3 linked regions of the Drosophila melanogaster genome follow. The gene in region 1 interacts genetically with each later gene. Each region holds a gene or a part of one and is shown in the gene's direction. Other genes may lie near its edges. The genes, in order: Ge-1, btz and DCP1.

The links.
Region 2: of Ge-1 (region 1) and btz, changing one enhances a phenotype caused by changing the other (phenotypic enhancement), as found in Drosophila melanogaster (one study listed by BioGRID).
Region 3: of Ge-1 (region 1) and DCP1, changing one enhances a phenotype caused by changing the other (phenotypic enhancement), as found in Drosophila melanogaster (one study listed by BioGRID).

The regions. Positions count from the first base shown.
Region 1 is NT_033779.5:11,092,569-11,104,875, reverse strand, and holds Ge-1 (Ge-1), read left to right. Parts: upstream 1-3,987; 5' UTR 3,988-4,316; coding exon 4,317-4,582; intron 4,583-4,650; coding exon 4,651-4,859; intron 4,860-5,121; coding exon 5,122-5,522; intron 5,523-5,580; coding exon 5,581-5,834; intron 5,835-5,891; coding exon 5,892-7,468; intron 7,469-7,576; coding exon 7,577-7,814; intron 7,815-7,870; coding exon 7,871-8,111; intron 8,112-8,174; coding exon 8,175-8,340; intron 8,341-8,400; coding exon 8,401-8,923; intron 8,924-8,998; coding exon 8,999-9,188; 3' UTR 9,189-9,726; downstream 9,727-12,307. Other genes in the region: Reps (RALBP1 associated Eps domain containing), read left to right, coding at 1-524, 596-1,032, 1,467-1,553, 1,707-2,249; Wdr59 (WD repeat domain 59), read right to left, coding at 10,039-10,113, 10,241-12,094, 12,150-12,307. UniProt on the Drosophila melanogaster protein: In the process of mRNA degradation, seems to play a role in mRNA decapping. Required for silencing a subset of endogenous miRNA targets.
Region 2 is NT_033777.3:27,698,787-27,708,699, forward strand, and holds btz (barentsz), read left to right. Parts: upstream 1-1,638; 5' UTR 1,639-1,798; coding exon 1,799-4,147; coding exon of another isoform or gene 4,148-4,282; 3' UTR 4,283-4,659; downstream 4,660-9,913. Other genes in the region: ALiX (ALG-2 interacting protein X), read right to left, coding at 300-581, 649-767, 982-1,193; CROT (carnitine O-octanoyltransferase), read right to left, coding at 4,938-5,070, 5,127-5,543, 5,604-5,734, 5,804-6,601, 6,678-7,055; CG12877 (uncharacterized protein), read left to right, coding at 8,424-8,532, 8,591-9,913.
Region 3 is NT_033778.4:23,885,503-23,894,152, reverse strand, and holds DCP1 (decapping protein 1), read left to right. Parts: upstream 1-3,876; 5' UTR 3,877-3,960; coding exon 3,961-5,079; 3' UTR 5,080-5,389; downstream 5,390-8,650. Other genes in the region: Upf3, read left to right, coding at 1-678, 735-977; DNAlig1 (DNA ligase 1), read right to left, coding at 1,034-1,647, 1,701-2,326, 2,382-3,014, 3,075-3,365, 3,421-3,483, 3,541-3,557; CG5597 (uncharacterized protein), read right to left, coding at 5,408-5,672, 5,751-6,028, 6,089-6,279, 7,027-7,075.

The DNA.
Region 1 (12,307 bases):
GGCTGATCTCCTGCACCTAAATGATGACGATGAGGACGACCATACGGATAATACAATCATAGCAGGCAATCTCAGCGGCAGCAGTACGACCAGCAAACCGCGTCCCAATGTGCCCAGCGACAAGAACATCATGAATCTGAGCAGCATATCCACGTCCTCGCAGGCTAGCAACAGTTCCAAACGTGAGGCAACACCACAGAATTCTTTGGGCAAGAACCGAAGCATCTCAAACTCGCCGAATGTGGAAAAACCTGTGTCGGGAACTGTTTCCTCTACGGCAAGCGCTGTAGACTCGACCAACGTCTCCAGTCAGTGGACAAAGTTTAGCGAATCTCCAACAACAAGTGCGGTTTCGGTACAGTCAACCACTGGGGCAGCACCTGTTGTAGCAGCCGGAGCAGCCGCTTCTGGCGCATCTAGTCCCGGGCTCAAGCCAGTCCTGTTTGATATGAAGCGCTCGGCCCAAGACGTGGTATCCAATCCGCAGATTCTGCACCCAGTGCCGCTAAGAGTGACGCCCATTGGTGAGTAGAAGAACTAAAATAGTATTCTATAAATTGAATATAAATATAATTATTCCTTATCTCATCTGTAGGCACCGCCATCGCTTCCTCAGCTGAGTCATCTAACGAAAACGAGAGCGCGGTGGCTCAGCGCGAGGATAGTCCCAAGGCCATCTCTTCGACTACTGTCAATAATCAGTCATCTGCTGTTGTACCCGGAATATCGGGAGTCGCTGGCTCCTCCCACCGCGATAGCAGCGATCTGCGTGCCATCCAACGGCCTCAAGCCAAAAAGCTGCCGGCCAAGAACAGTGCATTGCCACCGCCACCGCAACGCGAGCCCAGTATCGGATCCACTGGGCCAAGTGAGTCGCAGGAACCGCAGGCTGCCTACGTGGCATCGTCTTTGGCGTCGAAGAAGGAGCCACCGCCTCTGCCACCGCCAAGGCCACATCGTCATGCACGGAGCAGCAGTCTGGACTTAAACAAGTTTAAAATAGGCGCAACGGGCGGTGCCCAACAGGCGGAGGTATGTTATGTCCTATGGACCAACAATTTCCAATTTTATCTGAGAATTTCAATCTGTGTCGTTTTATATGCCTTGGTCATTAAATAAAGCCTTGTAGGGGATAGTATTTCGTAGATCCGCACTTATCCCCTGCAATGCTATAACAAACTAAGGAACTTCCAAAACATTCCGTGTGTTCCGTCTCTGTTTTCAATATTTGTGGTGTACTGTGCAAATGAAGGCGAATACAGTTTTGCTACAGATTCAATTTATTGAAATGAAAATACAGTGTCTTTTAAGAGTCCACAATTGTTAAGCATTTGCAAAGGAAACCGTAAACTTCGGGAAACCGAATTTGCTTATATTGTTTTTGTGTTTTTTGTTTGCTTGATTTTGCCTAACTACCTACCTATAACCTGTGAAATGTATATAAATATGGAACCCCTTTTGTTAAGATCACCGCGCAGGCCAGCTTCGATATGCAAACCTCAACGGGGTTTGCCGATTTCACGCACTTTGCCGACGAAGGCGCCGCGAACGTCGTAAGTCCAATCCTAAATGTATGCAACTCGTAAAGCATTCCACTACAATTGGCCGTAGCTCCACTAGTGTCATGTGTCCAAATTCAGTAGCTTATATAAATAAACGCATCCATTTGTATGATTGTCTTACTAATTGGTACTCTGACCTTATAGGTGGACGAGCAGCAGCTACACTCCTTGCCGCCGGCAGCACCACCGCCACAGGCAGCAGTGGTGCCGCCCACAAGAATCACTCTTCAGCAGGCACAGCAGCGCGTTTCTGCCTTCGAGGTTTACCGAAAGCCGCAAACGCCACGTGGATCGCAATCGCCGCCCCAGCAGCCGCCACCGCCGGCTCCAGCTGTTGGTTTGACCACCCAAACTGGTCAGCTGCCCAGTGCTGAGAGCTTTGAGAAGCGAGTAACCGCCATCAGTGACTCGCTACGTCACGTGTCCTTCAAACAGGGTCAGGCCAATACCACGGAAGTACTGCAACGGCTGCGGGAGCAGAACAACTCACTGCTCCACCTTTGCAACGATTTAAGTGACGAACTTCTGAGCGTCCAGACGCGCAAGGAGGAGATGCGTCTCAAGCTGGAGGGACTTAATGCCAGTGATAGTACAGGGCGAACGAGCTCCTCGATTTGCGCACCGGTGACAGCAAACGTGACCGGTGGATCCTCTGGTTCGGCAGGAGCTGCTTATACCAACGTTTAAGCAGCGAAAATGATCATGTGAATGAGGGTGAATCGATTTATTTTTGGGCGATATGTGACTTTCGTTTGCCTGTGTGTGTATTTTTGCGACCATTTTAAGTGTCTCGAACCAAAATTTAACATTCCTTATAATTTGTTATACTTTCTTTAAGCTATTAGTATATTTCCCTCTTTTCTGCACATTAAACTGCATTAGATACATATTGGGCGTAAGATTTCAGAAAAACTACGAATTAGTTTCCCTTAAATTTGAATACTAATTGAAATTACCAAAAACGGAGAAAAAATTGATAACGACCAAGTTTAATATGAAATCCTCGGATTTAAGGCAAATAGCTGAAATGAATTCATGCTATTAGTATTAATTCATTTGTTCATGCACTGAAAGAAATCGATTCACCTTTATGTTAAACACTTATTTTGTTGTTTCTGTATGTTGCAAGCACAATTTACGATTCGAGGTGCTTACACAACGATAAGACTGGGCAAATCTTTGAGTAGGCTCGTAAAATTTCGTTGTGAAAATATTTACACAGTCTGCAGATAAATATTCGCCAGATCTGAAAGTTCCAACAGCTTCTATGTAACTACCATTTGTTTACTCAAGAGCTTGCTCAGTCTTAAGCGGGTAGAAACACCAGCGATGGATCTGATAGCTCGTCCGTTTATGCATTGAAGTTGCTAATTTAATTTGTAGGCTAGTTAAATCTCAAGAACACAAAACAAATCATGCGAGAACAACAACAATAATGCCGCCTCTATAGATATTTATGCAGATCGATTTATATATGTATGTATATGTATATTTAGAGATATATGTATATGCGCTTCTCCTAATTGTTACGAGTAAATGACACACAATTCTTTCGCTTGACAGCCACTCCGCACTCCGTATCTCACCCTCACCCTAGTGATTAATGAAACTGCCACAAAGTGGTCCAATCCCAGGTGTAATATTTCCTGCTGCGAAGACATTTTACTTCTCCATTTGCTATTTATTACTGTTTTGTGTATGCCTCGAAAATGTCCCTTCTATTCATTCCGGCAATGAAAATTAAAAACCACAAAAAAAACATTAACTCAAAAATAAGAACTACAAAAAACGAACCTAAAAAGAAGCCAGGCTTAATGTTTAAGTATTAGAAAAGTGAAAGGTAAAAAATCGATAAAGAAATTCATTTCCTTGAAAGCTTAGCTTAGGTTTTTCAAAAAATATATACATCTTAATATATTTTCTATCTGTATAGTGTACACGATAAAACACAATAACACTTGATATTATCTACAATTACCAAAATTTCTTTCTACCGAAACAGGAGACAAATTTGATTTACTCGGACCACTGATTCTGTACGTATATGCTAACTTTGAATTTATCAGACATACCGGCATATATCACATCTTTTGCATATTTAAACCATTAGATATATGAGTTTTTCTTCAACTTGTTAAACATTTTCAATGACCTACCACCACACACAATCACACAAGAGAAACGAAACAAAATGTAATATGAAAAGAAAAAGTGATATTGAAACACTATGTAAACATATTATTACGTCGCTGCGTAATCAATGTGTATTGTTTTGATGGATATACATCTCTATGAATAAAGATAAATGTATTAAGTTGATGTTAAAATGCAATAAAACGAAAGTGCAACCGAAACGTGTTTTCTTGATTTCGAAAGAACGTTTCGCTGAGCGTCCATCCCTGGCATCCGCGTCGCCGATAACAGACGCTGTCCATCGATTGCCCTAGCACACGCCGCTACACACCTCTATGGTTTTGCGGCAAAAAAAAAAAAGTTTTTTGCGAAAATTTGTGAGTTTACGAGAAGCAGCCAACTAAATGGTTTAGTTTCGCTAAGTAGACGATCAATTGCTGGAGGCCAGTTTTACCAAGTACCGGCTGGGTGCATTTAGCAGGAGTAAAGGAGACCATTCGACTGCTGCGTATTGATAGGGCAGGTTGGTGTGCGAGTCGTTGCTGTTCATCAACTGGCGAAATTAATAATGTGTACCCCCATGCCGTATCATCCTCCCACCTGCAGTCAGCCGATGTGTCAATGTTAATCGCGCTCTTCGCGCTTGCACACTTGCCAATCTTTCGTAAGACGCCTTTGTCAGCCTCCTCCTCCCCGCCGCCGTCTGTCCACCGGTCGCCAAGGTGTGGCAAAGCAAGTACCGCGTACCATCCACCGCCAGCAGACGCCTGCATCAGCATTACTGCTTCAGCCATTGACGCAGCATCCGGGATGAGCAACAGCGCCGAACAGGACAAGCCGATTGCCGCCAACGGCAATGCGGCAGAGCCCCAGGAAATAGAAGTCATGTGCGTATCACCGGTTATCCAATAGACGGCCCTTGCTTAATTAATTCTTTTTTTTTTGTGCCTAACAGCCATTTCCAAGCGCAAGAGAAGCAGTGTTGCCGCGTTATTAGATCCAATAAGACCAAGGTCCTCACATCCGGCGGCGTTCACACACGCGGTTCCTCCAAGGTCAAGCTAAAGAACATCGTCGACTACAAGTGGGAGCGCAAGTACTACTATCCGGGTCACCTGGTCGCTGTCCACCGCGATGGCAAGCACCTGGCGTACGCCATTAATGGTAAGTAATTTATATCCCATTGCAGTTTCTTGACCAATTAGATTTTATTTATGTGTGACAACTTTTTCTCGCAATTCTTGAGTTTTATAAAAAAGGAATGATTCTTGAATTTATCGATGGGAATCATGTCCCAATCAATATTTTACAGAGCTTCCGGGGAATGATGGTTTAATTATTATGTATACTTATGAACCCATTTACCTTGTGTTAATTTTAAAATTAATTTAAAAGCTATTGTATAATAACTTCATTGTGCTCCCAGTCAACAACAAAGCCACCGGAATGGAGGGCATGGTGCGCGTATGCAACATAGCCACCAGTATGCGAGCCTTGATCAAGGGAATGAGCGGCGAGGTCTTAGATCTGCAGTTTGCCCATACGGATTGTGAGCGTATATTAGCTGTGATCGATGTCAGTTCGCTGTTTGTCTACAAAGTCGATCAAATCGAAGGGAACCTGCTGTGCAATCTAGTGCTAAAGGTGGAGGACCCCATCGCCAACTATGTGCCGGAGTACGATATGGTCTCCTGGTGTCCCTATGTCTGCAGCAGCAGCGCCACCGTTCCAATCAACGACGATGACGATGAGAATCAGCTGCTCATTTGGTCGCGAAGCTCTCAATTTCAATGCTTTCAAGTGAAGATGATTGTCTCTGAACATGGGGTTCGTTTGTGCTAATGTTCAGCGCCAAACATATCATTAATGGCATTTACCTTAACAGCGCGGCAAGATCCAACCAGCAGCCCTAGAATCTGGATATCTGAAGATTGAGGAGGACTCGTTGATCACGTGCGCCGCTTTGTCCCCGGATGGCACCACTGTGGCTGCTGCTTGCGCCGATGGCTTGGTTCGTTTCTACCAAATTTATTTGTTCGATGTGCGCAACCATCGCTGCCTGCACGAGTGGAAGCCACATGATGGCAAAAAAGTCTGCTCTCTCTTTTTTCTCGACAATATCAACAAGCCTGTGGAAGAGTAAGTAGTTATTATATAATAATTAAATATAATTATTATATTAAACTTTCCCATTAGATCCTACTGGCAGCACGTGATCACTACGAGCGATGCCAATACCGAAATCAAGCTCTGGAACTGCTCGCTATGGAAATGCCTCCAAACTATCAATGTGGTGGCCAGTCCGTCATCTTTGCAGCCCAGAAACTTTATCGCGGGCATAGATCGCAGTGCGAACTACTTGGTGTTGTCTTGCCTGGACTCTCTGGCCGTGTATGTAATGCAGATTGGCAGTACTGGCGGCGCAGACTCCGAGAATAGGAGTAGCGATAGCGAAGGAGAAGGCTGCGACACTTCCAAACGCATTCAGAATGTTGCCGAATTCAAGCTGAGTTCGGGGATTCTCTCTTTTTCTATTGTAAACGCTAGTATGCGTCGCGTTAAGAACTCCATCGAGAGCTACTATCCTATTGAGGAGCCCGATGACTTCGATGACGATTCCAATTCCACCAGTGCCCTTGTGCTGCACATGTTTGTGGTGCAGGCAAAGAGCCTGCAGGAATGTCAAATAATCTACCAGCCATGTGTGGCTGAAAAGACGGAGCGGAGCAGCCTAAACAGCAAGCGATCACAGACGCCAGAAGACAATCTGCTAATCAAAGAGGAGCCGGAATCCCCCAACAGTGGAACTGTGGGTGCTGTTCAGCTGGATGCATTATTCGCAAAATCCGCAAAGAGAGCTTCAACGGGCAGTTCATCTGCCATGGTGGCCGTGGCGGCAGCCGCGGCTGCGGCACCTTCGGCCATCCTGCAGGACGCCACTAAGGAGGCGGCCAAGTCAGAGTCCCCGCAACTAAGCAGCGCGTATACGCAGCAGGTTAATCTCATGACTCCAGATGCCTTCAGTGCAAGCGGAACCGCAGCGGCAGCAGCTGTATTTGTGTCTACCAGCACCACAACTTCAATAGGAACTGATAGCTCTACCACCACCAGCGGTCAGGATAGATCCATTGATTCAGCGGTTCTGCAAACTATACGAATGCTGGCCACGGTAACGTCCAAGACTTCCGAAAACCCCAATGCCGAGGTACTCCTCAACCTAATGAACAACACCCTAATCGAAGATCGCGAGCAACAAAAGCTGAAGGAAAAGCTTGACGCTCGCAAGAAGTTCATTGCAATTGATCGCAATCCAGAGCGGAATGTGGCTGAGAACTTGGCCAGCGGCAGTTCGAGTCCGAGTCGAGAGGTGCAGGAGATAATGGCCACACAGGACGATGCCGATGCCTACGAAGCAGAGCTAGAGAATCTGGACGACGATGATGACGATGAGGAAGAAGAGCTGGCAAATTCATCACCGCTCCCGGAAGCTGTTGACGGAACATGGCCCATTGTCAAGCTGTCATCCCACTCAGCTGAGCTCCAGAATGCTGCCCAGATCATGTCCCAGGCGGTGCAGAACACCAACAATGGCAATGTGCCGCCTACGCTAGGTGGAGGGCACAATAATAACACAAGTGTAGGCAGCAATAGCAACAACAACACGGCTACAACTCTTAGCACCAGCAACACCAGCAGCAGCAACAACGCGGGCGGAACATGCGTTGATTCAAGTGGAACTGGAGAGCTAAATGCCAAAATGGAACTACTCATAGGTAAGTGGTTGTGATCTTCAATCAGAAATTTTAAATATTTTATATTAAAAGAGGCATGATGGCGTAACGTACTTCAAATACTAACAATTTCACATAAATTATTTGCAGATCTAGTAAAAGCCCAGTCCAAACAAATAAACAAATTGGAGAACGAAGTCAACAAGCTACAAAAGCAGCAAGAAGCGGCGGCGGCCCTGCATAGCAAACAAGACACTTCATTGGAGCCTAAAAATCTTAGTCAGCTAGCATATAAAATTGAGATGCAACTGTCCAAGCTAATGGAGCAGTATCTCAAGCGATATGAAAACGAGCATAAGAAGAAACTGACGGAATTCTTGGCGGCGCGGTAAGATACATATAACAAATTTTCCGGGGCACAATCCAAGTGAATACTTTTTGCAGTGAGAGCCAAAACCGAGAGCTACGTGACTCCGTGCTGCAGGTACTAAATCAGTATGTCATGAACCACTTTACGGACATTATTGGCAACGTTCTCAACATGGAACTGCAGCGCCAACTGCTTCCTCGCGTGAATGCCAACATGGATCAGCTCCAAGCCCAAATGCAAGTGGAGATTGTGCAGAAGCTGAGTGTGTTTGACAAAACGGTGAAGGAGAATATTGCCCAGGTGTGCAAGAGCAAGGTACGTAATCTGCAAGTCCATCTATAAATGCTTATAATTAAGCGTTTTTTTTTCATTACTTAGCAATTTCTGGATACTTTTGGCAAGTCCGTGTTGATTGGTGTTCAAACCAGCCTACAAACCGCCTTCATTGAATCTATGAGCAGCACCTTGATTCCAGCTTATGAGAAGTCCTCGCAGAACATGTTTAAACAACTGCATGACGCTTTCAGCGTGGGCATAAAAGACTGTTAGTATATAATCATTACAATCATAATGGATACATAAAGCTCCTTCTTTTGAATTCCAGTTATGGTCCAGTTTAACACCTACCTGCAGCACATGCCACAGCCCCAAGCCGGGAGTGGCAATACGGAGGAGATAAACAACAAGTTGTCCATGCTTAAGCAATTGGTAGAGAGCAGCTTGCACAAGCACCGCACTGAACTCACGGACGCCATGCTCGAGACACAAAGAGAAGTGAAGAGCTTAGAGATTTTGCTGGCGCGTCAGGTACAGGAAACGATCAGAGCAGAGCTACGCAAGCACATGGAAGCCCAGAACGTGGCAATGCGTTCGCAGGCAGCTACGCCTGCACCACCTTACGACCTCAGGGACAGCATTAAGCAGCTTTTGATGGCTGGACAAATCAACAAGGCCTTCCATCAGGCTCTATTGGCCAACGACTTGGGCCTAGTGGAGTTCACTCTCCGACACACGGACAGCAACCAGGCATTCGCACCAGAGGGATGCAGACTGGAGCAAAAGGTTCTACTGTCGCTCATTCAGCAAATATCCGCTGACATGACCAATCACAATGAGCTTAAGCAGAGGTGAGCTAGGAGAACTAAACAAGTAACAAAACATTACAAAGAATTACATTGATGATGTACCTTTTTCATTTGTAGATATCTCAACGAGGCACTGTTGGCCATCAATATGGCAGATCCCATTACCCGCGAGCACGCTCCTAAAGTGCTCACCGAGCTGTATCGCAATTGTCAGCAGTTCATTAAGAACAGCCCCAAGAATTCGCAGTTCAGCAACGTCCGTCTGCTGATGAAGGCAATCATAACGTACCGCGATCAGCTAAAATGATATCAAGAGAACTATAACCTGGCCAGTGGCTGGTTTTGATAGATTACCCATCCGATCCCCATCCAAGATAGTTAATCTATGACCACAAACACATTTATAAATACACGCTTGTAGTTAAGTCCAAAAAGAAGTTAGTATGCTAAAAAGCTCTCAGCTAAGTTCATCCCTTAAAAAGTTGAAATTGAATCTATGCCTTTCATTTTATTGTTTATTTGTTTTGTGCGTGATTTGTTTATAGTAAGGCCGTATATCTAATGTTTATGTCGCTATATCAAAATTGTATTATCTTTATAATGATTCGCCTACTAAATTGCAATATATTTTTTTATTATTTTATTTTTGCGTTCCTTTTATTTTCCTTTTTATCTTTATGACGCTTAATGAACAAAAGAAAACACACAAAAACAAGAATAGGAGCTGTAGAAACTTATTTAAAAATTATTTTCAAAACTAAAGCAAACTTTATTATGACGGACAAAACAAAAAAATTATTAGATTGCAAATGCAAAAACTACAAGTAAATCGTAGAATTTAAGCTAAAAAAAAAAAAAAAAAACAGAAAGCAAAAGTCGATAATAAAAAAGAATAAATGTATGTACTTGAAAAAATCTAGAAACAGTTCTTTTTGAATTATCGTAACCATATGATTTTGGTTAAGTGTATAGTTGCATAAAGCTTTTACCCTTAGCTTGGCTAGTAAGTGGTCATATATTTCTCAATGGTATGCAAATCGTACAAAAATTGTTGGCCTAATGACTAAAAAACACCTAACTATTTTGATATCCACACAGACGAAAGAAAGTTAAGTAAGATTATTTTTGAAAGGAATGCACATCACTCAAGGTCTGAATCAGCTGAGTAGGGCTAGCAGCTCTGAGGTGCGCTCCAAGCACTTGCAGCCACACGTAGCACAGACATTGTGTTTCTGAAAGTTAAACAAGAAAATAGCAAACATGAATATATTTATATCCATAAATCCATAAATCCAAATCCATACATCGTTTGGTTCGTGAAAAAGAAACCAGTCGAATCAAACTCAAATAGATACCAACCTCAAACCACTGCATCATGTGATCAATGTGACCGCCATGGCCACAAGCCAGACACGCATTGGCTGCTCCTTTCACAGGCAAACGGCAGAGGACGCAGAAGAGTACGGGTCGCTTGCAGGGCTCGCATTTGGGCGTCCGTTTGGGCTTGGCACACTTCCTGCACTCGGTAACGAATTCCACACCCTGGACTGGAGGTGGTGTATTCTGCGTGTGCTTGAGGATCAAAGCCCGCTTCGAAAGCAACTGCCAGCCAAATAAAATTTCGGCATAGGCGCGCTTAAATTGATCAAACAGTGGCATCTTAGTCCGTCTAATCAATGAGCAAGCGTATGCATCAGACTGGATTTGCTTAATCTCCAAATCCAGGGAGTCGGACCAAGAGTTGCTGCGTAGTTGCTTAAGTTGCTGCCAAGTGTTCGATGAAGAAGATGACTTGACGTCAAGCGGCAGGACCGTGTGATACGGTGAAATTTGCGAGTTAAGCTGCGGCGGAAGTCGAACTGTCTTCTCCATAATGGCACCGCCACCCGTGGGGCACTTGTCAAACAAACAAGCCAGCAGCACAGCAGTCTGTATGTCACCGGAGATAGCATAATGCATTATTAGTGATTCCAGCAGAGATTTCTTGAAGGGATCTTTGTAGAACAGCAGATCGTTGAGTGTTTCATGTGGAATTTGGGGTGTGGCTATCAGTTCCGCCAATAGCCACACGGGCACCAAGTCCAAGCGCCCATGCTGGCGACAGATCTCACCATTTTTACGACACGTTTCTGCTATGTTGCACTTATCGAGGGAGAACTCCCGAGCCATTCTCCGACTAATGTGGAGTAAGCTACTTGTGTCGTATACGTGAACCACCGGACTTCCATTCATCTGTCGGATGGCTCGCTGCTTGCCCGGTTTTCCCGAAATCATCCTCTCCTGGAGGTAAAAGGAGGCGTTAGCTTCCCTCTGGGCGGTGGCCATCACATTGCCTAGCAATCCACTACCATTAATCGATGAAAAAGTCCGTGGAGTCAATGCGGTGTGTTGCCGCAGGGTCAGCCTTTTGTTGTTCACTGGTTGGGCGAAAGTGGTCAGCATACCAATGGCATTGAAATGGACCCCTGACGTCCGCGGATATGGAATGCAGGCATCGTGCAGGGTGCTCGACAAAGCTCCTTCCAGCCGAGGGGATTGCAGGAGCAGTTGGCTACGATCCGCTCCGCCTACAGCGGCCACCTTTTTCTTCATAGCCGCCACTAGAGCACGTAGGCATTGTTCCAGGCACGTGCGGGATTTCTTGACCCGTTGCAATGCATTGCAACGGAGCACTTTTAGCAGAACTCCACTAACTTCACTGGACAGAGTGGTTCCCTGGCAAAGCTGAAAGTCCGGCGGAGCACTAGGACTTGGATACGATGTCGTGAAAGTCACTTGTAAAATAACCGTGTGTCCACCGGCGCAAATCTTGAAGCAGGCGTACCGCTTTATGGCATCTAGTGTGTCTACCTCCACATGAGGCATGTTTGTGTTGAGCAGCGAGAATTCGTGGTGCAGCGAACACGTGGGTTGATCTGTTAGTGATCTGGCTATGTGGGGCTCTTCCCTGCGATAGTAGCCACCTCCAAAGCTCGGGGAGCGAGCCATGGGCAAGGTATTACAAGCACCGTCACCCGTGGATATGGGCAACGAAGCGGCAACCAAAATTGATCGTGGATGCAGGAATTCTGGAGGAGTAGGCACTCTTAACTCACTGAGATCGGGCTCGAAACGGGATTCTATTTCTTCCGCAGACGGTTCGCAAAGCTTTAGCATATTATCATCGATCTTCCACACCCGCAGCGTGCGATCCCTGGACCAAGTGACCAGTTCCTAATTAAAGCTCAATGCATAAGTAAGAACATTGTGGTATCTTTAAAATACTTACTATTTCATTGGAACTTTCACGATTTGGACGCCAGGCAAAGTCAAGAATGACATCGGTGTGCCCCACGAAGGAACAAATAGGGTCCGTTTGCTTGCTGTTGCTCCAGAGCAGCAAACTATTCTCTCCGCGTCCCAAATGGGGCACCACAATGCTAACCA
Region 2 (9,913 bases), on another chromosome or scaffold:
CCATTACTCTAGAGCCATTGATTGGTACATTATTTTTGTTGAATGGAATGATTCATTTCAATCGTTCTTATCATATAATTTCAAAGGAAATAACTGGGTAATGTCCCCACGTATCAAAAGTAATATCTTCGGATAAGCTTTGTCCGAAAAATATTGCATTGAGTGCTTTTATTGTATGCCAAAGACGCTTTTACCTGATAAAATAGTTTATCGCCCAATGTAAACAACTAAATTTTGCTCATAGATAAGCATTTAAATGTGAACGGTGTTCGTGCTCTTTGTGAATTAATTTTACATACCCTTAATTGCCTTCAGAATGAAAACCTCCTGCGCTTGGGCGACCATCAGAGCCTGCAGCACGGTTAGCGTATCCTGGCTGAGATCGGGCGTGGGTTCCGAGGGCACTGCCGCTGGCGTCGCTCCCTTCAAATACTGAAAGATGCCGGCGCTCTGCTGGAGCAGTTTGATGGTCAGCTTAAGGCCGTCATCCGAATCCAGGGACTGGTTGGCAGCGATGTTGCTCTGCAGGGCGGCAATGTTGAAGAGCACACAGACCTTCTCGTAAAGCAAGGAGGTGTGAGCTGTGGATGGTGGATGCCGTTGGGTTAGTGGTGAAATATACTTGGCACATGGCAATGAATCACTCACTCAGGCTGATCTTGCCGCCGAAAATGGAGCCCTTGTCGAAGGCATCCTTCCACTTAAAGGGTATCTGAAGTTCGCTAACCGATATCTTGGTCTCCAGCGCACAAATCTGGTCATAATAGCTGGAAATACAGAGCAGGCAACAAAACCCGGAGGCAAAACATTTAGTTAACGACTACGTCATCCGAGAGCTTGTTTACGTCTGACCACCACACCAATACAGAAGCACCAGGTGGAATCGAATCGAATGGAATGGGTGTGATTAGCTGCCCCGTTGTGCGGGTGACTCATCGGGAGATTCCCGGAAGAAGGCCACAAAGACATGGTGGTACTTACGCGTACACAATCTCCAGCGAAGCCTCGTACTTTTCAAAGAATTTCCAAATTGCCGTATTGCGTTGTTTCGAAAATTCGTTGACGGCCTCTCCGTACTTGCCCTTCTCCTCCTCCGACGCACCGTTGTAGGTGCTCTGGATGAGATTGTTCAGCGGCTTGATCACATCCACCTCCGACGGCTTCTTCAGCGGCACGCCCAGAAACTTCGACATCTTTTCCTGTTCTGCGGAGTCTGCTTCTTGTCCGACTTCTGATTCCAAGTGATATTAATTAATCGTCTGTCGCTCTATTCGAACTCCGCTTTACGCTCTCTTTCCTTCCCCTACAACAGCTGGCCAGCGATGTCCAGCCGTCGATACCGTTTTCGATAGCCACTAAAGAAATACTAAGGATTTAGTTCTATACTTCAAAGGTGAATTTTTGTCAAAGATACTTAATATTGTAAACTATTAAAAAAAAGTAATAGAATATTTTTTCTATGTTCTATGTTCTATATGTTTTTTATTACTAACATGAACCGGTAACTACCAGAGCTGCCACTATTTCAATACGTATGCACATTGCTACGTTTCTCGCCCTGTCGTTACGTTTTCAACAGTGTGGCATCTCTGCGGCGAGAGAAAGGTAACCCTAGACTTTCTATTTTCTGATTGCGTTGTTGTCGAGAAAATTGTGCGAAATTATTGGTTTTTTCTTAGAATTTACCGTAACAAGAAGCACGCTTACTAGAGTAGTTAGGCCTTGTCAAGAATTCGCACGTGAGTTGATATACGGAGCCCTGGCTTGGATATCCCAGTGACACCTAGAATCCCGTTCTATGTCATTCCGCAGAAGAAGCAGCAGCAGCAGTAGCGAGGCAGAAAACCGAAGAGACCCCGCGATGGCCGAAGTGGAGAAACCAACGGCGGCCACGCCCCCGACCGACATCCCCCAGGCCACGGCTGCACCTGCCAGCGAGGCGCCAGTGGCTGTAACGCCCACAGCGGATACCACCGTGGACGTCGAGCCGGGCACCTCGCCCACCCAGGAGCCCAACTCCAATTCGCATCCGCACGACTCCGAGTACGACACGGCCAGTGATCTGGAGGGCGGAGAGGACTATGACGACGAGGAGAGTGCCAGCGGCAGCGCCAGTGGCAGTGGGAGCGAGGAGGAATCTGAGACGGACGACGAGGACGATGAGGTGGGCAGCGAAACGGACGATGGCGAAGGGGAGCAGGCGATGGACCGCTCCGTCGCAGACAGTGAGGCCCAGAAGAAGGTGGACGAGGATCGCAGCAATCCGCAGTACATCCCAAAGCGGGGCACTTTCTACGAGCACGACGATCGGACGGCGGAGACCGAGGGAGAAATCCTGATCGAACCCGAAAACGGTGCTGGCCAGGCGGCGGCGGAGCCAAATGGCGAACTCAATGGACTTGCGGCCGCCGGTGCCACGCCGACTGGCCAAACGCCACAGATCTCACAGGCATCGAAGACCATGCGAAAATGGCAACCAGCTTCAGGCGGTGATCGCTGGTCTCACGATCGATTCGAGGCCACGGAGCAGGCTCCCAAATCCCGTGCAGAGTTGCTGCAAACATACGGCTACGACATTAGAAACGAGGACGCACCACCCAGAGCCAGACGTCGCCGGCGATATACGCGTGGGCCTAGTAAATACTCAAGAAACTGGGAGGACGAGCAGGCCTACCTCAAAGCCAGCAATAAGGAGCGCAAGCCGCCGCGGCCACAGGACTTCCCGGCGCTCAACGAAAGAAAGCCACGTGGTCCACGAACATCATCCTCGCGTGAGGAAAAGGAAAACCGACGGTCCGTCGCTGCTGAAGGCTTGGTTCCAGAGAAGCAACAGCCCTTGGCCAGTAGCTCCAATCCACACAGATCCCAGGAGCGTGAACGTGAGAGGGAAAGGGAGCGGGAACGCGATCGAGAGCCCAAGAATCGCAACTTCGGGCGGATGAACGGCGGCCCCGGACGTCAGAATGGCATGGAATTTAAGAAGAACAACCGTGGACAGCAGCTAAGAGAGCGGGAGCGGGGGCCAGACCAACTGGACAACCGTAACCAGAAGCCATCCACTCCACGCTCCAACCAACAACAACAGCCGCAGCAGCAACCTCATCATCAGCAACAGCCACAGCAGCAACGACAGCCGTCCCAGCCGCAGCAGTCTCCACAGACGCCGCTTTCCACGTCGAACCTTTCGCAGCGGCTCCAGCAGGTGCAGCAACGCAATGATCCCAGCCATGTGGGCAGTGTCCAGATGCATTCTCTGGCTAGCCAAAATCAGGCGCCTCAGCAGCAGCAGCAGCAGCCACTGCATCAGGAACAACGAAATGCGCCCAAGCGCTACTCCAGCTTGCGTCGCTCACAGCAGGAGGCATCACAGCACTTGGCTGAGCAGCAGCAACAGCAGATGCAGCAGCAGTTGCATCTTCAACAGCAACAGCAGCAGCAACAATCGCAGATCATGATTCAGGACCCCCATGTTCTGATGCAGATCGCCTATCAGCAACAGGAGCTGCAGGCCCAACTGCAGACCATGCAACTTGGACCACCTACTGCCGCAGGAGCAGTTCCAACACCACCAAAGCCACATGCCCCGCCGGCAGCCGCATATCCGCAAGCACAGGCGGCACCGTACTATGTGACCGGAACGGAGCCAGTTCCAGTGCCCGTTCCCCAGGCACCGTATGTTAATCCGGCTAGTGCCGCTTACTTGCCAACCACTCCGGCTGCCGTGGCGTACGCCCAAGCAGGGCCTCCGGTTGTAACACAACCCACACCGCCGCCCGCTCAGGCGCCGCCCGCAACGCAGCCGGCTCAGCCGTATCAGAACTACAACACGGTCGGTGGCACAACCTACTTTGTACCGCCGGCTCAAACCACTAGCCGACCAAGTGCTCTGCCCCAGCGTCGTCCCACCAACGCGATTCCCATTCTCCCGCCCTCCGAAAAGCATAAGGTCAAGGGTGGAGCGAAGGAGGAGGGCATCTCGGACAACATAGATCACATCATTGACAACATGTTCGTGCAGCGACCTTCGGCCTTCCAGGCTACCGGCGAAGGCGCAACTCCAGGTGGGGGAACAAAGGAAGAGGCGGCAGCCACTCCACCGGCTGCCGAGCAGAACCTTCAGCCAGTTCCGGCCACTGGGCAGGAATGAGTGCAGGCGTACGCCGGCTTGCCGCCACAGCAGCAGCAGAGACGAGGCCAACGGATAGCGCCGCCGCCCTCCTCCGGCTACTCAATGCTGCAGCCGCACGCTGGCTACTATCGACCTCCGCCCCCGCCGCACTAGTGCGGACAGCCCAGCTCCTAACTCAACTCATACGATTTTTTTTCCCCCATTCTGTCCTTGGGTCTGCGACTCAAAAAGTACTGCATAAATAAAGAAACGCAGTGAGAACCACTTGTAATTAGCATTTAGCTCCCAGATAATCGAAATTACTAACGAAAAGTTTTCGTATATAGACGATTATATATATATATATTGTAATCCGGCGCAAGCTCCAATTAATTTGTACGTAGTATCTAGGGCCGGCTAACGTATTGAAGCGGCTGGGCGCTTAGCTTATTTAGCCGCATTTTAGAATTGAAACACAAGAATTACCGAGAGAAATGTATTTGCAAAAACTAATCGATCATTGAATTTAAATAAACGTTTAACACGAAGTTACAAATGCTGCACACCCTTTCTGTCAAACTACAAACTACCAACGAAGTCTGCGTTTTCACTTAGTTTCCGGTGAAAGGTGGGTTGAACTAGGGATCCAATTTCAAATAAAAAATATTTAAATTCGACTGTTCGTTAAAATCTAGGTAATTGTGCTAATTGAAACAAAATGGAAAGAAAAACCAAAAATCTACTTTCTGATTGGAACTAAAAATGAGAACTGAATTTCAATGACGACATAAAGTAAGATTAGATCTTTTCTTAATACTAGATGAGCTTTTCATAGCTTGGATTCCTTGGCCAATTGTTCCAGGAGAACGCTGATGCGGCGGAATGAGTCCTTGAAAATGTCGTTGAACTTGCGAGCGCTTGTCTTTAGGCTATCCCGATAGGCGGTGGTATTAATGAACACACTAGAATGTACGAAATTAAAGAACAATTCAAGATAATGGAGGAGTGTCTAGCTTACGCTTCCGAGGTGATGGAGTAAAAGACGCCATAGCCATCGAAGACCATGGGCGCCACGAAACCAACGTTGGCCGTGAAGCCCAGCGTGCTGGACGAGAGCACAAAGTTACCTCCTCCGCCGCTCTTGGTGTACATCGGATCGTCGTAGAAGGCGGGAATGTCCATTTTGCTTTCATACGCCGCGCACCACAGGCCAAACAAGTGCCTATCGATGCCGTGTCCCTTGCGCGCCTCGTTCATGAAGTGCTTGTGCTCATCGACTGCCCTACGGAACGCCCTGGCCAGTGACATATCGCCAACCTGCTTGTTGGATGACGCCCTCAGGAATTCAGCCACAGCGGAAGTGCATGATCGCAGGGTCTCTGTTCGTCCATTGTAGTACTGTCGCATCAGAGCAGTCTCATATGTGGGAGCAATTCTGTTGGATATCCATGGAGTGTTGTTAGTGCTGTTTTTTTTAGTCCAGAGGTGAACTCACTCTTTATGCATTTGGTAGTAGGCCCACTGCATGACCACCTGAACAAAGGAGTCTGGATGCAGTCGATGGGTTTTCATAAAGTCCTTGCCGTAGTCATCGAACGCAGTGAAGGTCACAGTAACGTCAATACCCTAAGGATACCACATACAAAAGGATTAACTAGTTCAATAACAGGTTTCGGAAAAAGGCGTTTTGCCTACCCTGTCATCAATATCCTTCTGCACGCGCTTGATCTCGTTCTTGAGCGTATCATCCAGCTGGAAGTGCAGCTCCTTGACCTCCAAAACATTGCCTTTTTCGGCCTCTGCCCAGTCTGGCTCTGGCACCTCCAGGAAGCTCAGTTGCATGAATGTGGCGTAACTTATGCTGACCGTGCCATCGTAGCAGCTGTGCTCACCCGTCCAGTTGCAGCGTCCGTTGCGGAAGGCGATGATGCTGCTGCTGCGGTCTGCCCAGCGGGAATGGAGATCACCGTAGAGACCCAGCTGGCAGGACTCCTCGTAGTCCTTGGGCGATTGCTCGTACCAGCAGATCTCCATACATGCGCTCTCCACCAGAAGCAGCGTCTCCTTGTTTGCAACTGAGATTTCCCTCAAACGGTTGCGGTTGCGTGCCCACGTGGAGCGTTCGTCATGGCTCAGGGTGGGCACACAATCGCCCAACGGCTCGTAGTCGAGGATGCTGCGCACTCTTTGCAGGGCCACGAGGATTTCGGGAGCCGATAGGATAGTGTCGTCCTCGTGCACACAATCGAAGATGAACTGACGTCCCTTGCCGGAAATAAGCATGTGACTCGGCGTTTTGCCCTCATCCTTGGTGAGAAAATGCTTCTCTATATGATCCTGCTCCTCGCCTGGCACACGGCACGTGGAGAAGAAGTGCTTGTACAGCGCGGAGGAGTACTTTATTTTACCGCCGTTCGAGGAGAGCGGTTTGATGCTGGACTTTCTAGTCAGATCCCAAAACTCCAGCGAGTGGTGAATGTGGCGCGCCAGACTCTTCGAAAATTATACAGTCAATTAGGCAATCTTAAACTTTGTGTTCTTATAGAGCTTGGGGTGTGGGTCCACTCACCTTCAGCATGTACTCCGGTGTCTCCGGCACGCCCACCATTTCCAATTGCGAGGGCATGACCATGAGCTGGTAGGGCAGCAGCGGCATCCGAATCAGGTGATATCCGTAGTCCTCCCACCAGGTGCCCAGCCAGTTCCTCATGCCGGCCGCCCGCTTCTTGAGCTGTTCGTGCAGCTGGGCTCCCACTCCGTTTTGGAACTCATCAATAGTCTTGCGGGCCTGGGCCAACTCCTCCTTGGTCCCGAATGGCTGGATGCAGCTGTAGTAGCGCTCCATGGTGTCCCTAAGCTCCGGCAGCGGGAGCGAAGGTAAGGTCTCGTCGAAGTCGAAGGTGTTCTTATCATCCTTGCTCATAAAATATAGACTAGCCCGGTCCATGGTGGTTTAGCTGCGGGGGACACGTTGGAATCGTTGATATCAGTCTGCGCGTGTGGTGGTTTTCTATAGGCCTAAGTCAGATTAGTACAATAATCATATCGGGAATCGCTTTTACGTTCGTCAGGTCCAAAGTTCACCCAATACATTACTGAGTACATTCACATCGGAAATAAATTGATCTCATCTTATAGGTTAAACATTAAAATGGTGTGCAAATTAATACCACACAACTAAGAACACTTAATGTGCAACTAAGCGGATTATGCGTCAAGTTGAACGTAATCTTTCTTGGACTGCAGCTAGACGACTATCTTCACTAATCTCCTCAAGCTGGACAAAGTCCGGATTGGGGAGCTTTATAAATATTTATACTCCCGGCGCACTGGTGAAATCATAGGCGAATTTCTAGCCCACTGACCTTTGTACTCGATGGGGAATTCACTTTTGCCGGAGACAACTGAAGCGCCAGACTGCCGTTATACGACTGAATCCATAGGTTGGTTCCATATCACAGCAAACCTTGCCGGAGGGGGAGCACTTGAATTATCGCACCGTGGGATCCGCCACCCGCGTCCACTGACTCAGTGCGATAATATATCACCCTAATCATTGCTATTGCAGACAGTCGGCCACCGATAATGGCCGGTTTCATTTGAATTTCTATATGAATTTCTTTTTTAATAACATATTCCAGCAGACACACCCACACAAACCTTCGATGAGGCGGCAGTTGAATGTCGCGCCCGAACTTCAGTTTGCGATGCACTCGATCGAAATTAAAACGGTTCCGCAGCTATCAAGTTCATTAGGCTAGATAAGCAAACAATTTTATAGGTTAAACAATTATTTTTATTATTATACTGCTGCGTTTTTGTTTACAAGCGGCGAAGACCCTATAGGAAATTGGCACAGCAAACAGCTGTTTGCAGGAGTTGCCAGACTTTTTACACCATTTGTTTATACCGTTAGTCACCACATTCTTATTACGTACATCTTATTCTTATTAACATCGCATAGCATTGTACATCGTACCGCAAGATATAATCCTCCCGGATTGATGCAATCAACTGCCATAAACGTACATTGTAACCGTTAACAAAATGCGAATATTGTTTACAATTATTAATTAAATAGGTCATTCAATGTTTTGTAAATATTTAAAACTTATTTAAATTTATTTAATTTAATTCCTTAGCATCCATTCATAGCATCCATGCTGACGCCTATCTGGCAACGCCGCCAGCAGCTGAAACAGCTGACATCTGTCGAAATGAGTGAAAGAGACAGGCAGAAAGAATAGAAAGAAATTTGGGACGCTTGTTTTCTCAAGCGGCTTTATTAAATTTCTAATCCCAGCAAGAGGTGGAAATGCTGCCATCCACGGGTCTCTTTAAGGGCTTCTTGTGCCCTTACTTTGACGGCCAGGATGCGGCGTCCTGCAAGCGCCCCTTTTGCCACTTTAAGCATGCTCGCAAAGGTGAGTGAATTACGTCCAGTTAATTTCGCAACAAATTCTATCCACTCTCGGTTTACAGACGAATTGGAGGCCGCTCCACCTGCAGAACCTTCCCCCGTGCCCAAGTACAAGCCGGCACCCAAGTTGCTCTCCCTTCCACTGCCCCAGATCACGCTATGTGCGCCCCGGAAGAAGTCCAATCTGGAGTACCACCCGGAGAAGCCGGCTCTTGACGCATCGCCGGCTAAGAAGAAGCAGGAGGCGTCCGTGGACAGTGCTCCCAAATATGTGCCCGGCCAGCCATCTGTTACAAATGGCGAAGAATATGACGATTGGCAGGCGGTACTCGAAAAGGAAATTGATGAGCAGATGCAGGTGGAGATTGAGGAGCAAGTCCAGAATAACGACGAAGAACAGAAGATAGATACGGTAGCTGAAAACGAGGAGGACCAGGAGAATACGCAACTGACGGATGCTAGGGATAGCCACGAAAAGGATCGAAAGCCCAGCAAGGAGCGGGAAAGGGATATAGAAAAGAAGAAGATCAGAGAGCTGAAAAGGGAAAAGATCAAAGACAGGGATCGGGACCGGGACCGGGACCGGGAAAAAGACAAAGAGAAGAGCAAGGAAAGGGACAGAGAGAAGGAAAAAAATGATAGGGATAAGCGAAAGTCCTCCCACAGCGACAAGGAGCGCTCCAAGGAGCGAAATACTTCAAGCTCAAGTTCCTCTAAGCACAAGTCTTCATCTAGCTCCTCTTCCAGCAAAAAGTCATCCAGCAGCGATAAGCACCGCGACGACAAAAGTTCCAGTAGCAGGCACAAGAGCAGTTCTTCATCATCCTCCTCGAAGAGCCATCATCACAAATCTAGTTCCTCGAGTTCACGGTCCAAAACTAAGAGGAGCTCGTCTTCCAGCAAAAGCGCTGGCACTTCAAAGAGCGAACCGGAGGCGGATAAGGATACTGAAGCAGCTGTACTGACACCAGCAGAACCTATGGATGATCTGGATGACATGGACTTTGATTTTGAAGCAGACACCTCGGAAGGAGAAATTGTACGCCAGTGTGAAATGATTTTTGACGAGATGGAAAAAAAATTTGCGCAGATGCACAAGGACGAAGGCGGCAATGCCAACCCGGAGAGTTCTCGCAAGCGCAAAGCTCCTTCTCCGGACATTGATACCTTCACCGAGGCAGCCACGGCGGCTCTGCAGAAGCGCCGGGTGGCCCACGAGAATGCTGACAAGATCACGCCTCATTTGGCTCCTTCGGCGGCGATGCGCAAACCCAATCACGTCCGTAATGCCATGCAGGCGATCTTCAACCGCCGCGCGGAGCTGCGGCGCCAGGAGAAGCTACAAGCCGAAGCCTCAGCGGAGCAGGTACGTCAGGCACAGGAGC
Region 3 (8,650 bases), on another chromosome or scaffold:
AAGAAGGAGAAGCGCCGGGAGGAGGCGCGCAGGCGGAACGAGGAGAAGCGGAAGCAACGCGAGGAGCAGAAGCTGTTGCGATTGGCAGCGCAGTCGGACGCCAGCAAGCTTAAGGAGGCCGAAGGAGGCGGCGGAGGAGGAGACACGAAGAAGCCAGCCAAAAAGGATGTCAAAGATCCGCAGTCATCTGGATCCCAAGCCAATGATGCCAAGGCCTCGCGCTCCAAACGACGAACGGAGCGGGATCAGAGGCGACGCGAGGAACACGAACAGCGTAAGCTAGTCAAGCGGGACAAGAAAAAGGATGACGGCCAGGGCAAGCAGGACAAACAGGACAAACAGGACAAAGGCAAGCCATCCAGCGGCAAGCAGAACAAAAATTCAAAGTCCATGGACATCGTTATCTTGAAGAAAGCAAACAAGCCAGAATCAAACGAGAGTTTGGACGTGCCATCCACTTCTAACGCTGCGGAGGCCTCGAAAGAAAAGCCTGCGACTGAAAACACCGAGACACCAGAAGCTGCTGTCAAGGTTTTTACACCGGCTGCCAGAGGTGGTCGCAAGGAAAAAAGAACCGGCGCAGACAAGCAGCCAGCAGGTTCCGCCCACGAAACTGCAGAGGAAGCCATCAAGGCTGCTCAATTTCGAGCTTCAGAGGAGCGGCGCATTCGGAATAAAGTGGGTCTCACCTATTACCCCCCTCGACATTTTACTAACCCGCTTGATGTTTACAGGATCGACCATCGATTGCCATTTACCAGCCCAAAGCCCGAATTCGTGCATCAGATGAGCTGCCCCAAGGTGCAGGCGGCAAAGATGGCTCGGATGGAGAGGCTTCCGTGGTGGAGGAGAAGACTTCGAAGAGGAACAAACGCCCCAATCGGCGCAACAAACCCAAACCGAAGGAGGTGAAGGAGTGTGAGCTCGAAACTCGTCGCTTCTCCAAATCCTCCGAGAGCAGCACCAGCGTCAAATAGCGATAACAGACTTTTATTGTTAAATAAATCGTGTACACATGGCTGGAGCAGACCGGTCAGTAGAACTCGTCCTCCATCTCCATTTGTGTGCTCGACTTTTGATTATTTTTAACCTGATCCTGCGACTGGTACATGTGGGCCACCTGATTGGCGTCCGTTGCGTTTTCGCTATTCTTGTCGTCGCGTATCCGAATGAACCGAGGGAATCTCAAGGAAATGCCCCGCTCTCCGTCCACAATGCCAATGGCTGCTCGGTGGATCGGACTGAGCGACAGATCCGCGCATTTGACTTCCCACACCTGGACCGGTTCAAACCAGTGATCGGGCTCCAGGCTGGGGTCGTATCTGTAGTAGGATTTGGCGGCGCTGGTCACATGTTTGCCCAAAAACTCGGAATGCGTTTGCAGGTCCTCATCAGTGAAGCCAGTTCCAATCTTGCATATGCTCTGATACTCCTCGTTTTCGGTGTCATAGCAGGCAAGCAAAAATCCTCCGTAGGTTCCAGTTCGCCGGCCCTTGCCTTTGTAGCCACCAATGACCACCAAATCGAGTGAGTCGCCCACATTGGATAGGTAGTCCTTCTTCAATTTCAGCCAGTTGCGGGATCTCTTGGCAATCTCATAGGTGGCCTCCTCATCCAATGTTTTGACCATGAGGCCCTCGCAATTTCCTAGTGAAATAAAGCTTAAGTAAACAACTTTTAGGTTGGTTGGCAGGGCAAACCTTTGATAGACTCCTCCAGGAACTGCTGCACTTCGTCTATGTCATTGGTGTCCAGAGCAGTGGCGAACTTCCACTCGCCCTCGACCTCTTGAAAGTGCTCCAACAGGAGCTTGCGACGCTCCGACAGGTTTTTGGTCACCAGAGCAGTGCCATTGATGTACAGCAGATCGAAGATGTAGACACAGACTTGGACCTTGATTTCCTCGATATCAACGTTCTTCCGTTTGCGCGTGCTGAGCACCTGAAACGGCAGAATCTGCTTGCGCTCCACATCCCAGGCCACAATTTCGCTGTCTATGATGTAGGACTTTACGTCGCCCTTGAGCAAGGCAGTGCTCCTGGCAATCAAATCCGGATATTTTGCCGTGTTGTTCTCGGAGTTGCGCGAGAATATGCTGATCTCCCCCTTCTCGTTGCGGTGGATTTGGGCCCGCTCTCCATCGTATTTCCACTCGCAGGTGATTTGCATGCCGCCGAATCTCTCAAATACCTCATGGACCCCCTTGGTGGGCTGGGCGAGCATGGGCCTCAGCGGCATGCCGGGATGCATGGGGCAGCGTTCCTGCAGCTCCTTAATATCGTACTTTAGAATGGCCGGTATAATGATATCGTAGTTGGGACACTGACTGCAAAAGTTCGTTAGCATCTGAATTATTAGCTGGTTCTTAAGTTAGTTCTTACCAGTATGCAGTTTTCAACAGCAAAGTGGTGTCGACTATTTCATCCTTATACACATCCGGCACCTTGCTAGCCTTGCAATCATCGATGTGGTTCTTTTTCACCAAACCAATGGCCAGCGCTGTGAGCAAACTCTGCTCTGCAATGCCAATTCTTAGCTTGCCAATCAATGAACGGATAAAGAAGCGAGCCTCCGACGATCGACAGGCCACAAACATATTGTACACCAGGTCCATTTTCGACTGACCGGATAGCTTGGCTATTTCGCGTAGCTTCCGGAACACATCCCTCACATTCAGAGGCGCTGGCTGGAACATCATGCGCTGTGAAACGCGCGACTGCTCGGCCACGATGCCCAGATCCCCGGTTAGCTGCGTCTGCGATTTAATGTGAGCCAAATTACGCCCCGTTGCCTTGCAAATGGCCTTCATCAAGGTGGTCTCGGCAACGCCCAGCTCCAGTCCCTCGTAGGCGGGCGCCAGTTGGTTGATGCTGAGGTAGACGCTGGGCACAAGATCCTCCGGACTGACCAGCATCACAGAGCAGAAGAAGTTGCTCAGCGTGTCGATCATCTTGAGCCGGCCTTTGGTCTCCTCGATTACTTGAAATGTGCGGGCCAGTGCCAAGTAGGGAGTGCTGGAAAGTGTTTCCTTTGATATAATTCGCCTTGGAGGCTCAAAATCCTGCACTACTTACACCTTTTTGTCCTTCCAGTAGGCATTCTTGAGCGGATGATAGGAGTCGGCGGATGGATCGTAGTTTTCCACATCCTCCTTAGTAGCGGCAGTGGAGTTGAGACCTATGGTTGTGACCTTCTTGTCAGTGGTCTTGTCATCGACTTCCTTTGGTTCCTTCTTAACATTTTTCACCGGACTTGTCTTCTCCTCGGAATCCACAGACATAGGTTCTACCTTGGGCTTAGTTTCCGGGGAGGCACTTTCGCTCTTGATGTGGGGTTCATCTGGGAGTTCGGTCTTCGCATCAATCCTATGATTTGTCGAGGAATTTAGTAATGAAACAAGAAAACAGCGGCACCATTTACTTAGGAACTTTCTTGGGCGGCGAGGGGCTGTCGGTGGCATCGGATTTCTTCTTGAAGAAGGAGCTGAAACGGGGGATTGTTAGATTGGCAATACTTAGCATTTGTTAAATCGTAAATTACGTTATAGACTTTTGCATTTTGTGGCAATTCTGTGTTCAAATAAATACAAATTGCAATGCAATTAGTTCCCGCCAGTTTCTAGAGCTGGTCTTCAGTATCGATATATTGAAATGGAAATGCTATCGAAGTTGAAAATTTTATTAGTAAACATAAATTAAATGTTTATGCTACATAATTGAGAAATATTATTACGTACAATTGTGGCCATTTTTATATGCAAGTCAATCGACTTAATATTTCTCAAACAAATCATTAATAGACAAAAGGAAGAGTTTATTGTCATTCGGTGTGACCGCAGCACAGTCGTTGATAAACACGGGAAAACATCCACGGGGCAGTGTGACCAGAGCGCCGTTAAATTCACAAATAATTGCAATTCGCAATAGCACAGCCAAAACTGAAGATTACATACAATTTACAATGGCCGACGAGAGCATCACGCGAATGAACCTGGCGGCCATCAAGAAGATCGACCCGTACGCCAAGGAGATCGTGGATTCGTCCTCGCACGTCGCCTTCTACACGTTCAACTCGTCGCAGAACGAGTGGGAAAAGACCGATGTGGAGGGAGCCTTCTTCATATACCACCGCAACGCGGAGCCCTTTCACAGCATCTTCATCAACAACCGACTGAACACCACGTCCTTCGTGGAGCCCATCACCGGCAGCCTGGAGCTGCAGTCGCAGCCGCCGTTCCTGCTCTACCGCAACGAGCGCTCGCGCATCCGCGGCTTCTGGTTCTACAACAGCGAGGAGTGCGACCGCATCAGCGGCTTGGTGAACGGGCTGCTCAAGTCCAAGGATCAGGGAACGAATGGCCAGGCCCAGCGTCACGTCTCCGCGCCCCAGCAGCCAAAGCAGGACAGCAGCCAGCCGGCCAGCATATTCAACATGCTGACCAAGGCCCAGAAGGACTACAATGCCCAGGTGAGCGGCGGGCAGCCGAAGACGCCTTCGGCGGAGAACGTAACGGCCGGCAATGTGTTGAAGTTCTTCGAATCGGCCAAGCAGGCCACGGCAGAGTCACTGTTCCACCGCGTCCAGCCGCTCTCCGTGGACCAGCTGGAGAAACAGCAGCGGGCAGCCACGCCTGGCGAGGATCTGTTGCCCCCGGCAGGCAGGGACAATCACGAGAGCCGGCTGTCGCCCTTCCAGAAGATGCAGCAGCTTAACATTCAGCTCCTGAGCGACCTGAAGATCGGTAAAAGCTACGCTACGGCTCAATCTCCGACAGTCGCCCCGTCCTCGTCGGCGCTGATGGCCAACGACGATGCCGGCAAGTGCTTGCGGAGACTGCTGGCTGGCGACAAGCCCGGGCCGGCCCTCATGCCGCCCACCATGTTCGACGCGCCCAACAACGGCAATCCGGAGCCACAGCAGCCACAGCAGCCACAGCAGCCACTGCTGAACTCGACGCAGTTCGTCCAGGCCTTCACGTACCTTATCCAGAACGATAAGGAGTTTGCCAACAAGCTGCACAAGGCCTACCTGAACGGCTGTTCCAATCTACTGCTGGACTCCAGCTCCACATATCAATAAACAGAAATATTCAACATTTCCGAATTGCAGCCCATATTTTCATTTGTTCGCATGGAGTTCGAGTTCAAGCCGAGTTAATTTACAAAATGTAATAGCTGTAAGCCGACAAGGGCAGTCGTAGATTTAAAATCTAGAAGCCCCGCCGGAGAAGGACGGCATCCATTTCCAGAGCAACCTTAAGAGTTAACTAACGTAGTTGGTTTTGTGAAGTATTCGTATTTATTTACAAAATGGTTAACTAGGCCGAAGGGGCGTAGAAAAGGTAGTTGAATGGCAAACAGAATTCAATAAACATTAATTTAGTAACAATAAATAACAACGCTTTTATTTAGGCCAATACCTTCAGCTTGCAGAGCAGGTAGTACAGAAAACAAAACAGCCACAGGCTGAAGTCGACGTGGCTCCTGCCCGCCGCCGCGGACGTGGCCACCGTGGTCAGGTTCTTGCCGTATCCCTCGAAGGACACCACGCACTGGTAGGCATCGGGATCGTCGTCGGTGTCGTAGGCCGCCACCACGGCGCTGCCATCGAAGTATCCCTCCTCGTTCTCGTACACCATGGGCTCCCGCTTCACCACGTCCATGTCGTTGGATCTGTAATAGGAGCGGAGTTGAGTTGGGACGTTGTTTACTACAAGGCTGTCTTACGACAAGGCAGGCGCTCGTCCTTACATTATCGTGATGGTGGGCCTGGGATACACGTTCGTCACGGTGCAGTTCAGCTGCGTCTCATTGTGGATCGTCTTGTGGGACAGCTCCAGGGTGTAGTTCCTCAGGTCTATGACCTGAACCCTCTGGTGGCTGGAGAAGGTGTTCAGCGAGGTCTGCACCACGCACTTGTAGTCGCCGGTGGTGGCGATCGTGGGGTTGATCAAAGCCAGCGAGCTGTACTGCTTGCTCGGCTCCGTGGAGCTCTCATAGGTGCTGTCAATCTCGTTCCTGAACTCGGGCTATCAAGGAGGGGAAAGCGGTTAGTATCTTAAGCGCACCACACCGTTTGGTTCACTCACGATGGCATATGGAGGTGTTCCGAAGATCCACTGGTATATGGACTTGTCGTCTCTGTACCATTTGACGGTGATGAACTTCGGGCTCTCCTCCACCTCGTAGTCGCAGTCCAGGATCGTGGGCTCCATCTCCTCGTTCTGAAGGACTATAATCTTGTCCTCGGACTCATCCCTCGTGGGATAGCATAGCGCATCTGGGGGAGAGCGAATATTACTGATTAGAACGCAGAATTCAGAAACGAAACGAAAAGCTTTTAGCACGACGAGGTCTCGAAATTACAGAACACGCGCGGTATTATTTGGAATATATGTACATATGCAGCACAGGCAAATCCAAAACACATTGTACACAAAAATCTATATAATTTGGCGAAAGCGTATATTTACGAGAAGCGAAAACGCGATGAGCGGATGCCTGTTTCGTTTTAAAAATAGACACTAATAACAAACAAAAGCTAGAAAATTGAACATTTTTCATTCGGCAGTTTGTCATCATGTGTGCCAAAATTCTGAAAACTCTGTTCAATTTTATTAGGTTCCTTTCGCTGGAATCTTTTGCTTTCCACTTAGCATCTATTGCTCCGACTTCAAAACCACTGGCGCTTTTTCCACATTGAAAAACATATAGTTTCGAACACGAATAATTGCACGTAAAATCCTTCAGCCCGTTCAAATCCACAAATTAAAGGATAATCGAATCTGCACATATTGTTTATATATTGTTTATATATTGTTTATATTCCGTTTTAGCACATGTTAACTCAGAACCGAATGTGGATATACGTTCGTATTTATAGATATCCGATTTGTCATTATTTTTCTCAAGGTTTGCGCATTCGAAATTCGTTTATATGCGCCTTCCGAATGATTTCATTTCTTAATTTAAAAATCGCGTTTCCCATATCGGTTGCTGGCTGGATCGCCACAGGATCTGGCTGTACCTCTGTGGAGCAGTCCGATGGCCAGAATGGCGATCAGCAGGGTATCCATAACGGTCACTATCCTATCTACACTTCCACTTCCACTCGTATGCCAGACTTCTCAACCGATCCTAACTCAGCGGTCCGCTCGGCATGGTACAACTAAGGCAACTAAATGCTCTTGGCCGCCAGAGAACCGAAAACTGAAAACCGAGAAATGAGGAACGAGAGCTCTTGGCCAAGACCACGCAGCGTAACCAAACGAATTCGAATTTAGCCGAGATAATGCCGGCACTTCCTCTCCGGCACACGATCCTCCTACCCTAACCCTCCTCCTCCTCGCATAGCCCGTGCCACTTGACTTGTGCGCGACTCTCGGAGCACAAGCACGATCTTTGCATGGACATGTGGGGAGATCGCTCCGCAGCTGGCCAGGCACCACCACCAACCAAGTCGCCCTGCATGTGTGGGGGTTGGACACAACCTTTCCGCTTCGATACTCTCCGCTGCTCCTAGCTGCCGTTGACTATTTGAAAACCAGTTGGCCGCCCAGCTGAGGCGCACTCCTACAACTAGGGATAGTCGAGGGTAACATGCAAGACCGTTAAAGGACAGGGGGTGTCGAGCGTAGTCCTTAAGGACCTTTTCTTCTTCTCGACCGAAGTTAAGGGCTGTTGTAACGATTGGCGTTAATAATATGCTGTCTCCATGGCAATAGGGATCATTAACATTCCTGTAATTCTGTTGAAATTCCGATAGAAGGCATTTTTAAGTCGAATTTCTCGAATTTGTTTACAATTGAATAAATCTTAGGGTATTAGCCGTTCAGTTACTCATAGGTTTAAGTATATCCATATGCTTGAGTTTTTGTAAAGACTTAGTTAGTCGTTCCAACTCGGTGATTAGCAAAAGAAAAAGCCTTCACTATACCAAGTTAGTGTGTAAGTGCAACACACACCTATGCATGATAAACCCTTTTTCTTTACTTTATGTTTTCCAAACTAACGTTAGTTGTTTTCAGAATGACTCAATAGAACCTGATACTTGTTCGATGCATGTAGTTCCAGGCTCATTTGCACCCACAACTAGGTTGAAACCTACTTAAACTAGCTTCCCATTTAGATGCTCTATAACTAAATAATATGTTGCTGTTTTTACAGGATTTTCGGGGTGGGTTTGAGATCGGGTTAAGCAAACAATGCAGGTGGGTTTCGTTCAGGTCGATCACCTCCAACATCTGGTTACTATACTATTTATTAAATGTAAAATGAGTTCATATCTTTGCGTTTGATACAATTACAATTGGAAAGGTTATAATTTTACACATATATTGGATATATTTTAACCTAAAATGTAACACAGTAACTTATTCCAAAACTTTCGGAATGTCGTAATGTTGTATTATTATGATTGCCATAACAATTCTCCGATTTACATAGACTTGCGATTTAAGTAATGATTACTACAAAGTAGAGTTTCTTTTTGCACGAGTGTTAGTTTGAGCATGATGTGCATCTATTAGGTGGCTTTGTTTTCCTAGAGACTTAGTCGTTCCAATTCGTTGATTAAGAAAAGAAAAGGCTCACTCTACCATGCAAATGTGTAAAATCCACAAAGGCAACTAAGACCATTTTTCAACTGGAAA